Xenopus tropicalis: one gene and its partners. The protein of the gene in region 2 interacts with the protein of the main gene of each other region in a pairwise test. Links are inferred from orthologs where the notes say so. Each region holds a gene or a part of one and is shown on either strand. Other genes may lie near its edges.

Evidence for each region.
Region 1: the proteins of sh3gl1 (region 2) and mta1 interact in binary tests that used the Homo sapiens proteins (3 or more experiments, as listed by UniProt). The two-hybrid records come from large-scale screens. The link is inferred for Xenopus tropicalis from reciprocal best matches to the Homo sapiens genes SH3GL1 and MTA1.
Region 3: the proteins of sh3gl1 (region 2) and fam102a interact in binary tests that used the Homo sapiens proteins (3 or more experiments, as listed by UniProt). The two-hybrid records come from large-scale screens. The link is inferred for Xenopus tropicalis from reciprocal best matches to the Homo sapiens genes SH3GL1 and EEIG1.

Annotation. Positions count from the first base shown.
Region 1 is NC_030684.2:115,925,807-115,929,326, reverse strand, and holds part of mta1 (metastasis-associated protein MTA1), read left to right. Parts: intron 1-630; coding exon 631-758; intron 759-1,872; coding exon 1,873-2,024; intron 2,025-2,150; coding exon 2,151-2,340; intron 2,341-2,430; coding exon 2,431-2,520; intron 2,521-2,618; coding exon 2,619-2,774; intron 2,775-3,520. UniProt on the Homo sapiens protein: Transcriptional coregulator which can act as both a transcriptional corepressor and coactivator. Acts as a component of the histone deacetylase NuRD complex which participates in the remodeling of chromatin.
Region 2 is NC_030677.2:93,866,948-93,870,467, forward strand, and holds part of sh3gl1 (endophilin-A2), read left to right. Parts: intron 1-1,769; coding exon 1,770-1,913; intron 1,914-2,016; coding exon 2,017-2,150; intron 2,151-2,328; coding exon 2,329-2,487; intron 2,488-3,520. UniProt on the Homo sapiens protein: Implicated in endocytosis. May recruit other proteins to membranes with high curvature.
Region 3 is NC_030684.2:25,539,418-25,542,937, forward strand, and holds part of fam102a (protein FAM102A), read left to right. Parts: intron 1-689; coding exon 690-806; intron 807-899; coding exon 900-946; intron 947-1,959; coding exon 1,960-2,099; intron 2,100-2,779; coding exon 2,780-2,884; intron 2,885-3,011; coding exon 3,012-3,201; intron 3,202-3,520. UniProt on the Homo sapiens protein: Key component of TNFSF11/RANKL- and TNF-induced osteoclastogenesis pathways, thereby mediates bone resorption in pathological bone loss conditions.

The DNA.
Region 1 (3,520 bases), on a different chromosome or scaffold from region 2:
AAAGTTTTATTGATTCAGATTTGATTCATCCAAATCTTGAACCTATTCGGTGCATCCCTATAGTGATACGGACACTAAAAAACTATTTTTCAAAATATGAATGTACATTAAAAGTTACATATAGGTCATGATAGTTTTTTATTGAGAGGGCTGCTTTTGTAAGTAATTGTCACCTAAAGTTCATTAACCTGACTGTTTTGCCAACCTAATTGTCCCTTCTTAGTCTGTTATAGCTTCTAATGCTAACAGACTCCTGATGCACAAATATGGCAGCCCCCCTCATGGAGGAACACGGGGATCAGAAAGAAAGAATGAAAGAAAATGGTCAAGTCAAGTTAAAAAAAAAAAGTTTAATTTCTGGTGTCAGTATTTCTTAAGGGTTCGTACTGATGAGCGTTTTTTCCTTTGCTCCCCTGCATTGGAAGCAGGAGACTGCCACCCCAGGGGAGCTCAGGAAAAAACGCTCATCTGTACGAGCCCTAAAACATTAAAATCAGAGAAGGTCTTCATGTAATTTAGCACTTTCTGTATGTTGGGTTCCTGGGTCCCCATATCTGTAGCTTAAGTTAATGGCAGTCTAAGTCAACTTAAGTCAAGATTCTGATGTATATTTTGAATTTCTTTCTCTAGCAATAAACCAAACCCAAATCAGATCAATGTGAATAACGTCAAGCCTGCAGTAGTAAATGGTACAGCAGTACAGGGGCAAAACGTGGCTGTAGGAAGGGCATGTGAAAGGGCATGTGAAAGCTGCTACAGTAAGTGTTTTTTAACCTTTTTAAAAAAAGAAAATATTTGTCATACATGTTTGTAATGAGGCACATCATTATTTATTATTATGTAGCTTTTTTTATTTGCTTTATCTTGTGTATAAAGTGTGAATGTTATATATAAAGGTGGATATTCAGAGGAATGTCCTGTGCACTTCATAATTTATAGTGTGTTAGTAACACAAATTTAAAAAGCACCAGCATAATCTGCAGTGCTGTACAAAAAATTGGTGTATGTGAAACATACTGATTACAACCAAAAAAAAAAAATTGTGTACAAGAGGGAGAGCGGGTTCTGCTGTGATGTTATCAGCAGATATTTAAAAAATGTAAAGTTTACATCTCCGCTCAAATTTAATTTTTTATACCAGTGGGCATGGGTAATTAATATAATATTCAGATTAAGCCTTTAAGAACTATGTCAGTTAGTACTATTCCCACAAGCAGCCTTTGAAGCTTCTGTCTGTTACAGCTCTGTTAAAAAAATAAATAAATGCTTGGACAGATTGTGGTAATATGAGTGACCTTATTGTAGGAATTTGTACATTAAACAGTTTTTTTATGTTGTTGTAAAAACCATATTGGTGATTTGTATTGATACCTGAAGCCAGTAGAATTCCTTGAAATAAATCCTATTCTTACATTAGGCATTTTGATTATTCTGCTTGTTAAATTTGCAGCTTTTTTTTTTTTTTCCCCCTGTGCTAAAACTTTTTGGTAGGCCCTGTAAAAGCAACGGTTAACGATATGAACACATCCCTTTGGCTCAGTCTATTTGGCATTTACTTTCCCTCTGAGTATACGCTCTGCATTCTGATTTGTGCGCTTCCCTGCACAAGTATCTCCCAGTGGCAAGAGGACTGTTTTGTAATTTGAATAAAAAGCTAAAACAAAAGTGTTCAGAAAGACTGGTTAATTGTCATGTAGACAAAAGTCAAAAAGCAAGTGTTTGCGTACAAGAGTAAAAATTTAAGTAGTTTTTAAATAAGACCTAGAGAAAGGAGCTGGACAAGTAGAAAGATTGAAGTCGGGTATATTTAAGAAAAGTCCCTGCCATGAAATTTTACTCGGATTTTAATGTTCTCTGCCCTCTTTCCATCAGCCACGCAGTCGTACCAGTGGTATTCCTGGGGACCTCCAAACATGCAGTGCCGCCTTTGTGCATCATGTTGGGCATACTGGAAGAAGTATGGTGGTTTAAAGATGCCAACACGACTGGATGGGGAGAGGCCGGGGCCAAACCGTAATAACATGGTGTGTGTATATCTGGACAGGCAAAGCATTATACCCCTTTTTTGTTTTTTTGTGTGCTCCTCTCCAGTTTTCTGAAATGAAATAGCTGCTTGATTGGTAATGTTTCTCTATATCCCTGTATCACAGAGCCCACATGGTCTTCCAATGAGAAATAGTGGAAGCCCGAAATTTGCAATGAAGACACGGCAAGCATTTTACCTGCACACTACAAAGCTGACCAAGATAGCAAGGCGGCTGTGTCGAGACATCTTTCGGCCAAGATATGCAGCAAGACACCCATATATGCCTATTAACAGCGCTGCCATCAAAGCAGAATGTAGGTATCTGTACAATGAATTATTCTTTAGAATACTTACCACTATCTTTTTATAGCAGCTTGCTTACTGACATACTGGCTTTTTCACAGGCACAACAAGGCTTCCCGAAGCATCGAAGACCCCGCTTATATTAAAACAGGTTGTCCGAAAACCCTTAGAAGAAGTGATGCGATATATAGGTAGAAATACTGTTGATAATCGGTTTTGATGTACTTATGTAAGTTTACAAGGGGGTTAAAAATATGAAACCTGTGTTTTTTTTTTTTTTATTTCTCAGAGGCACACCCCTGCCCTCCTAAACAAGACCTAATCAAAAACATTTCTACAAGTATCAACAACAGCTTGACCCCTACCAAATCCTCTCCTGTTATTAACAATGGATCACCAACCATCCTGGGAAAACGCAGCTATGAGCAGCATAATGGTATGGATGGTAAGTATCCCTTCTCTGGCATTATTTTTATGTCTCTTTGTGTCAAATAGTCTTCTATAAGGGATGTACTTTTTGCTAAGTGGTGCTGCACATTATAAAGAGCCCTCTAAAAGGGAGGACTTTTCTGTGCAAAGGTCATTCCTTCTTTGTATATTAAAACTGAAGTTAATAAGAACCAGAGATCTTTTTAGAAAGGCTTAATACCATTTGTGATCCAAGGTTTTAATTAAACTTTTTTATCAGAACTGCAGCAGTTAAGGCAAGCAGTATGGTTGCTCCTATATACATGCAGTATGGGCTAGCTGGGTCATTTAACATCCCCTTAACACACACACTATGTGAGTCCCTCTGCTTTCTAGAGAACTAAAACTCTTGTTGGGCACTTTTTTCCCCCCATGGTTTTACTAGCCCTTTAAAGGAGAAGGAAAGGCAAAGTCAGTTGGGGGTGCCAAAATGTTAGGCACCCCCCAGGGACTTAAATCGCCTACCTTGTACCCCGGGCTGGTGCCCCCTGTAAGGAGAGAACAGCACCAGCCCAGGGTACCTGTAGCGCTTCCTCCTTCCGTCTTCGCTCGCGCGCATGCGCAGTAGGGTGAAGACGGAAGAACAGAGAAGCCTGCTTTTCACTCTACTGCGCATGCGCCTGTCGTTTAGTCCTTCCAAAATGAAGCCAGAAGGAGGAAGCGCTCCGCTACAGGTACCCTGGGCTGGTGCTGTTTTCTCCTAACAGGGGCACCAGCCCAGGG
Region 2 (3,520 bases):
CAGCCATTCTTATCGCACGCCCTTTACTTAAAAAAAAATAAATGAAATCTTTCAGGAAGACTCCTCTCTGCACTCTTTTTAATAGTGTTTTTAACTTTTATGATTTATGCCTCCCTGCTTGCTTTCTCTGCACAATTGATCTACTTCAGCACTGTGGGCTGAAAGGTTAATCTTTGAAGCAGTCCTAATACAGATCTTTACATTAGTGCTGGAAAGGCAAGCAGGCATGCATGCAAGGCCCACGCATAAATAATTAAGTAAGGGGGAATGAATTAAGAACAATTTAACAAAAAGGTGGGTCAGTGAAGGAGGGGAGTTATGTAGTGGGCTTGAAGGGCACCTATCGCCCCCATATTGCTTCATTAGTTTTTCTTAAACATAATAGCCCCCCACCAGTGCTAGGCTACCTGCATCAGGAAGGAGCTTCTGGTGCAGGCAGTCATGTTATGGCACACGCAAGTTTATTATACACGTATGTGACATATGAGGGTGAGTCGCATCCACTGAAACAGATGAATAAATTGTAAAAAGTAAATAGCGTTAATCTGAATAATAAATGAATTAATTGGGGCGCCCTAAGTGGTGGGATAAAGGCATAGTTAAAGTTATTTGTACCAAATACAGCATGGAGACCCGGGTGTGTATACCCCGAGTCTATCTCCCAATGGATCTAAACCAGAACCCCAACACAGTCAATTCGGCTCTCATCATATAAAGATAGAAAAACCAAAAAGCTCACCGCTGTCCAGAAGTGGCCCGGGTGCTTAAAGCCCCGAACCCGTAGCTGGGGAAGGCAGAATCATATATAGGCAAGGAAGCTTCAAACGCACCGGACACAAAAGGTTCGCTAAAAATCGATCTTTATTACTCCATTTAAAATCAGTATATCTGATGCGTTTCGTGTGTTTGTGCACTTAATCATAGGCAGGTCCCATCCACCACGCCAATATTAAGCGCATGCACGTAAGTGAGTGGGTAGATTTGTGCATTATGTGCATGCACGCCAAACAACATGGCAACCCGCACTGGGAACTACCTCCCAGTGTGGGACCTAGCACCGATGGGAGCTTTTTATGATAATCTATTGATTTCCCCCAACAGGAGTGTGGGCTGTGAATTCTGACCCTGTATAAGCTGACAACACCATCTAACTATGCTGCCAGATTCTTCCTGTAAATCAAGCATTTAAGTTCTGCCCTACAAGCCTTGATTGACAAGCCCCAAGGGACCATAACAGCTTAAACTGAGGAAAATGGTCCAAAGCCATGCTGTCCAATGTCTGTGGTACTGAGGGCTGGAATTTTTCTGGGATATGTGGTGGAGGGCTGCTAATGGAAGCCACTCCCTTTTTTTTTTTAAACCGCACCCACTTAAAAACACACCCTATTACAAGAACTTTTAAGACCATACCCACATTAATGTTGGTAGCACAGCAAAAACCCAAATGTTTGGCGCTTACTGGAGGTATATCCCCTGTCATTTATATGTGAGCACAGCAAACCCCAGCACATATGACACACTTTAGGGATCCCTAACAACAATTTATAGGCACCCATCTTTGGGCCCCGACCCATAACTTAAGAATCAATGGTATACTTGCTCTTTTATGTCAGGGGGAATCTTTTTGTTTTAATTTTTTTTAATTTTTTTTTTACACCTAATGATTTCACATGTAGCTATCTTCTGCAATAAATAAATCAAAATTTGGGCTTGAGTACCACCTTTTTAAAAAAAGTTATATTATTTATTCTGTTGTGCTTCCACTTCAGCTTCAAGGGCTAAGCTGTCAATGCTGAATACTATGTCTAAGATACGTGGGCAGGTGAAGAATCCAGGATATCCGCAGCCAGAAGGTGTTTTAGGAGAGACTATGATCAAATTTGGCAAAGATCTTGGGGATGAATCAAATTTTGGTAAGTGCAGTTATTAATGCCCTAACTAGCATAATGCTTTTCTAAGTTGTGTTAAGTGTAGATTTCAGAGTGGCTGTAGACACTAATATGCTTTGTCAAATAGGTGATGCTTTGCTGGATGCTGGGGAGTCAATGAAAAGGTTGGCAGAAGTAAAGGATTCTCTGGATATTGAAGTGAAACAAAACTTTTTGGATCCGCTACAGAATCTTTGTGACAAAGATTTGAAGGAGATACAGGTGAGGCTTTGGACTAGTCACCTCCTGTGCTGGTATGCCAAGAACTGGTAAAGCAGTAACTTCAGTAATAAACTGCTATAAAGGTGCTTGGCTTAAGTTGTCAGTGTATGGTACAGATGTGCTTTTTAACATGTCTTTGTTTTGATAACTTCTTACATTAGAATTATGTGTATTGCAGCATCATCTAAAAAAACTGGAAGGCCGGAGGTTAGATTATGACTACAAGAAGAAGCGACAAGGAAAGATACCAGATGAAGAGCTGAGACAGGCCATGGAAAAGTTCATTGAATCAAAAGAAGTGGCTGAGACGAGCATGATTAATTTGCTTGATACAGATGTAAGTAGGAGTTAACTTTTTCATGGTGCTACATTACTGTAAATTATAATTTCAAACCACTTTGTTCATCCAGCCCCAAACTCAATTAGTCCACCTGGTCTTAAATAACAACTATATGCCACCCAGCTGCTGTCCTGGGCCAATGGCACTTGTAATTGTGCAATTAGCCCTATAATACACCCGCAAGTGATCCAGGACAGGGAAACCGTTAACGCATTGGCAGTTCCAGACCAGCAGTAGACAATGGTGGGCATTTATAATCTCTTGGCAGTAACTCATGGCAACAAATTAGATGTTTGCTTTCATTGTTCTACCTTTGGCTGGTTGAAAAAGGCAAATCACTGTGATTGCTATAGGTTACTGCCCAGGTGCAAATTTGCAAATGAGCCCCTGTGAGATATTAAGTATTAAGGGACATAAAAAGGCCAAAATAATGGTAGCACCTCAGGTCATAGAGGAGAATGTATAATCAATAGGTGGTACAAAAAAATTCTCTCTCCTTGACCTTTAAAGGGGTTAGAGAGATGCCTTTAATTTGCGATGAAAGACAATGCCCCCAACACATGTATATTAACTAACAAGGCAGAAGACACTAAAATGATTTGTGTTTCATCAGTCCTAAAACTAGATGATAACCCAGTTTAGCAGATAAATCAAAAACATAATGCTTGTTCATTTATTTGTGTGTGGCAAAAGTATATGAACCTAATTTTATTTGAAGGGGAAATTATGTTCAGAAGTTTCAACCAATGGTATGATAAATGGGTGTTCGTGTTTAGAGGCTCTGGGTTTTCACTCTTCTAGTCTGATGTTAAGAATACAGGTTTTTGAAAGTGTTTTGACTTGAATAAAGAAAATTTCTGATGACATACAAAAAAGTTACAGCTTGAGCATAAATAAACCCGACTATGTGGGGGAATCCAAAAAATGGAGAAAAGTGGTGCTTAAACTGGTTTAAAAAAAGTTTTCCATATCCGCAAACAGAAATCCGCCTACATTCCAACTCAACCACTACTTTTCAGGTGGATACAAT
Region 3 (3,520 bases), on a different chromosome or scaffold from region 2:
ACTGCCCAACTGTCTGGGCATTTTTCACTTGGGGTGGTAATACTTTTACCTATCAGGCCACCCTGTGATTCTGTCAGGTCCCAGTTATCCATCAAGATAAAAAATGCTATGTGCCAAGCGACGAAGTAGGAGTTGCTGCAGCTTTCTGCATGTTTAGTACATACATTATATTCCTGCATACTGCACTGGGGCAGATATCAGCAACAGTGCTTCAATGTTATTGAAGGGGAAAATGGCACAGCAAGCAATTCGGAATCAGCAGCTGTGAGAAGGAAGTGAAAGAGACTCGGCCAGAGCATCCTTCTATGCTCTTCCTTCATGTATTTCCTGCCAGGGTTGTGGGATATGGGCCCCCTGCTAATAACCTAACATGACGCAAGTAGGCGAATGTACAGGGATACACAGGACTGAAGGCAGCCTTTGCCTAAATGGTAAACATGTCTCACAGTCCTGCCTTTCCATGCATTGTGCAGTGCTGGATTAATTAAGATGAAACCTTTATTTCCACTATGTGAAACATGTAGCTCTGTACTACCACATCTCTGACTTTTCGTATCTTTCTGCATCTGAGTGAGCTTATATATATTATTGATATAAATATATATATATATATATATATATATATTTACTTGAAAATCACATTCACATTGTACTACTCTAACCCATTTTTATCATGTTCTTCTTTTCAGCTGGGCTTTGCTGATCTCAATCTGGCTGAGTTTGCTGGTTCTGGCTCCACAGCCCGCTGTTGCCTGCTGGAAGGTTATGATACCAGGAACACAAGGCAGGACAACTCCATTCTAAAGGTAGCAGGTCTTTTTTTGCTCTATGGTCATGCATCTGCTCATTAACCGCACTTTCTGCTGTGAAATCCCTTGTAACGTGCCTTTTCTTGACAGGTAATTATTGGGATGTCGCTGCTCTCTGGTGACCCGTGCTTTAAGACGTAAGTGACAGCATTGCCTACATCTGATCTTCCATTATTGCTTCCTTATATATAGGCTTTTACACCTTAGTAAAGCTTCCTGTTAAACAAAGAATATCCTACAAACTTCTTCTCTTAACCTTCAAAGCCCTCCATTCCTCTGCTCCCCACTACATCTCTTCCCTTGTGTCTCCGTACGTTCCTGGCCGACTCCTTCGTTCCACGCAGAGCAACCGTTTGGTTGCGCCCCCCACTACTACTGCGGTTTCCTGCCTTAAACCCTTCTGCCTTGCTGCCCCTTACATTTGGAATTCCCTCCCTGATGTCCTCCGTAGAGAATCCTCCCCCAGTCTTTTTAAAACCAAACTAAAAGACTACCTTTTGGAGCACTCGCCCAGCACCTGATCTGGGAAATAGCACTTATATTGTAGTGTCACCCACTGTGACCTACAGCACTTATATTTGCCTATTTGTGTCTGTAAGTTACCCTCCCATATAGATTGTAAGCTCTACGGGGCAGGGACCTCCATCCTCGTGTGTCTTTGACTCTTAACTTATTGCAACTGTAACTGTATCTTGTATTTATTTGTATTTATTGTTATACTTTGTATTTATCTATTATCTTATTAACCCCCTGTTTGTATTAATGTATTCTACTGTACAGCGCTGCGTACATAAGTAGCGCTTTATAAATAAAATTATTCATACATATACATACAAGCAAGGCAACTCCCTTGTCTGAGTAATGGCTCTGCTGTAAAGCTGTCGCTTGCCTATGCTAAGCAACTATCCTGCAGAGTTTTTATTATAATCTGAACACGTTTTTACTGATTTAAACTATAAAAATAAAATGGCTTTTTTAAAGAATGAAAGCATGGCAGCTCCCTCTCTCTCAAATCAATTAAAAAAAATACCTGAGTAGTATAAATATTAAGCTATTTTATAAAGACACAGCATGAACCACTATGTCTTTATAACATACTGAATTTACATTATTTCATGCTAACAACTTGTTCTTTTTCCACTTTCTTCAGACCTCTATCTACAGCCAAAACAGTTTCCCCTCCAGGACAAGACTCCTCATTACAGATGACATGTAAAGGGGAAGGGACTGTGAGATCGGCGGGTGGCACCGTACGGCAGAACCGAAGCCGGCAGGCTATGCTGAGCTCAGGTATGGCCTAGTCCTGGATGGCTTGTGCATTATACAGAGCAGCTGCAGGACCAGTACTATAGATAAACACATTAGAAATACAGACCTAGAACATTGTCCACAGTATTCAAATAAAGTGTGGCTCAGCCGACATTAATTCAAACAGGTATTTCTTGACCCAGGTTTGTACCTTAGGTCCAGCGCTGAGAGGGGGTAATGCAATTACAATGGAGGGCCAAAAAACAAAACTCACCCCAGTGCAAACAGCCCCAAGTCCCGCGCCAACAGAGGAGGACAGTTTAGATCCTCCAAAACTTCAAAGTATAAGAACAACTCGCCCATTTTTTTCCTATTCAAGCCTATTATATTTCATACAAACTACATTTTATTGAAAATATTTAAAGTGAAGTGAAAAAGAAAAAAAAAATGTTGTATCATCTTGATTAGATAATAGTAACTGTAAACCTTTGCTCCATTTCTGAAGGCATTAAAGGGTTAAAGTGTAATGGGGTTTATGACATAATATCCTGATACGTGTTTTAAATAGAGCGGTTGTAAATGTTTCTGTATAGACTATGATTATGTGCCTTGTGGACGAAATCCATCAGGCAGCTTTTAATGTTTGGTGTGCAAGCCATCTATGGATTAAAGTCAGTATTTAATTTATCCACATTTATTTTATTGTCTTTTTATATTTTCAGGTGGATTTGACGAAACCGAGCAAAACCTATCGAGCCCAGAGGAAACGTCCCATTCAGGGCATTCCCGGAACTCTAGCCAGGCCAGTCAGCAATCAAAAGTGTCAGGTAAGCATCTCACAAGTGTTGTTTATCCTTCTTGCAAAGAGTCTCTGTTCATATTCCAGCATATCACCTTAAGTCCGGCAGGTATCTATCACTAAATACGTTTGCAATGTGCTCTTTTTCTGTGCAGGTCACAGTTCTGAACATTCTCGCTGCTCCAGCATGTCCGACCTGACTCACAGGCGTAACACGTCCACCAGCAGTAGCGTCTCAGGGTGTCTCAGCCTCACAGCCGACGGGACTGAACCCGAACGAGATGTTAAGCTGGAAAAGCCTCCACGGCCTATTCGGCCTCCCCTCCACTCAGACAGACACTCCAGGTAGAATTATACCTACTGTATTCAGATTTGTGCTTGTGTAGGGATTTCCTGTTGGTTATTCGTGTGCCTTCTTCCTTTATATCATGATGCAAAAATCATGTCCAGTTTTGGGCTAGGGCCACAATGCATATGTTTCATAAGGTGGCCATACACATTACAATAATGATCTTTCCTGCAACCATTGTGCTGTGTGAAAGGCTCCCTGCAATAAGCGGCATCCAGTATTGTGCTGCAATATCTCATATCTAATAATAGTTATGGATTTTCCCATAAAAGGCAGCAGGGGTGATTTTTGGAACTTGGCACCCTTAGCTTTTCT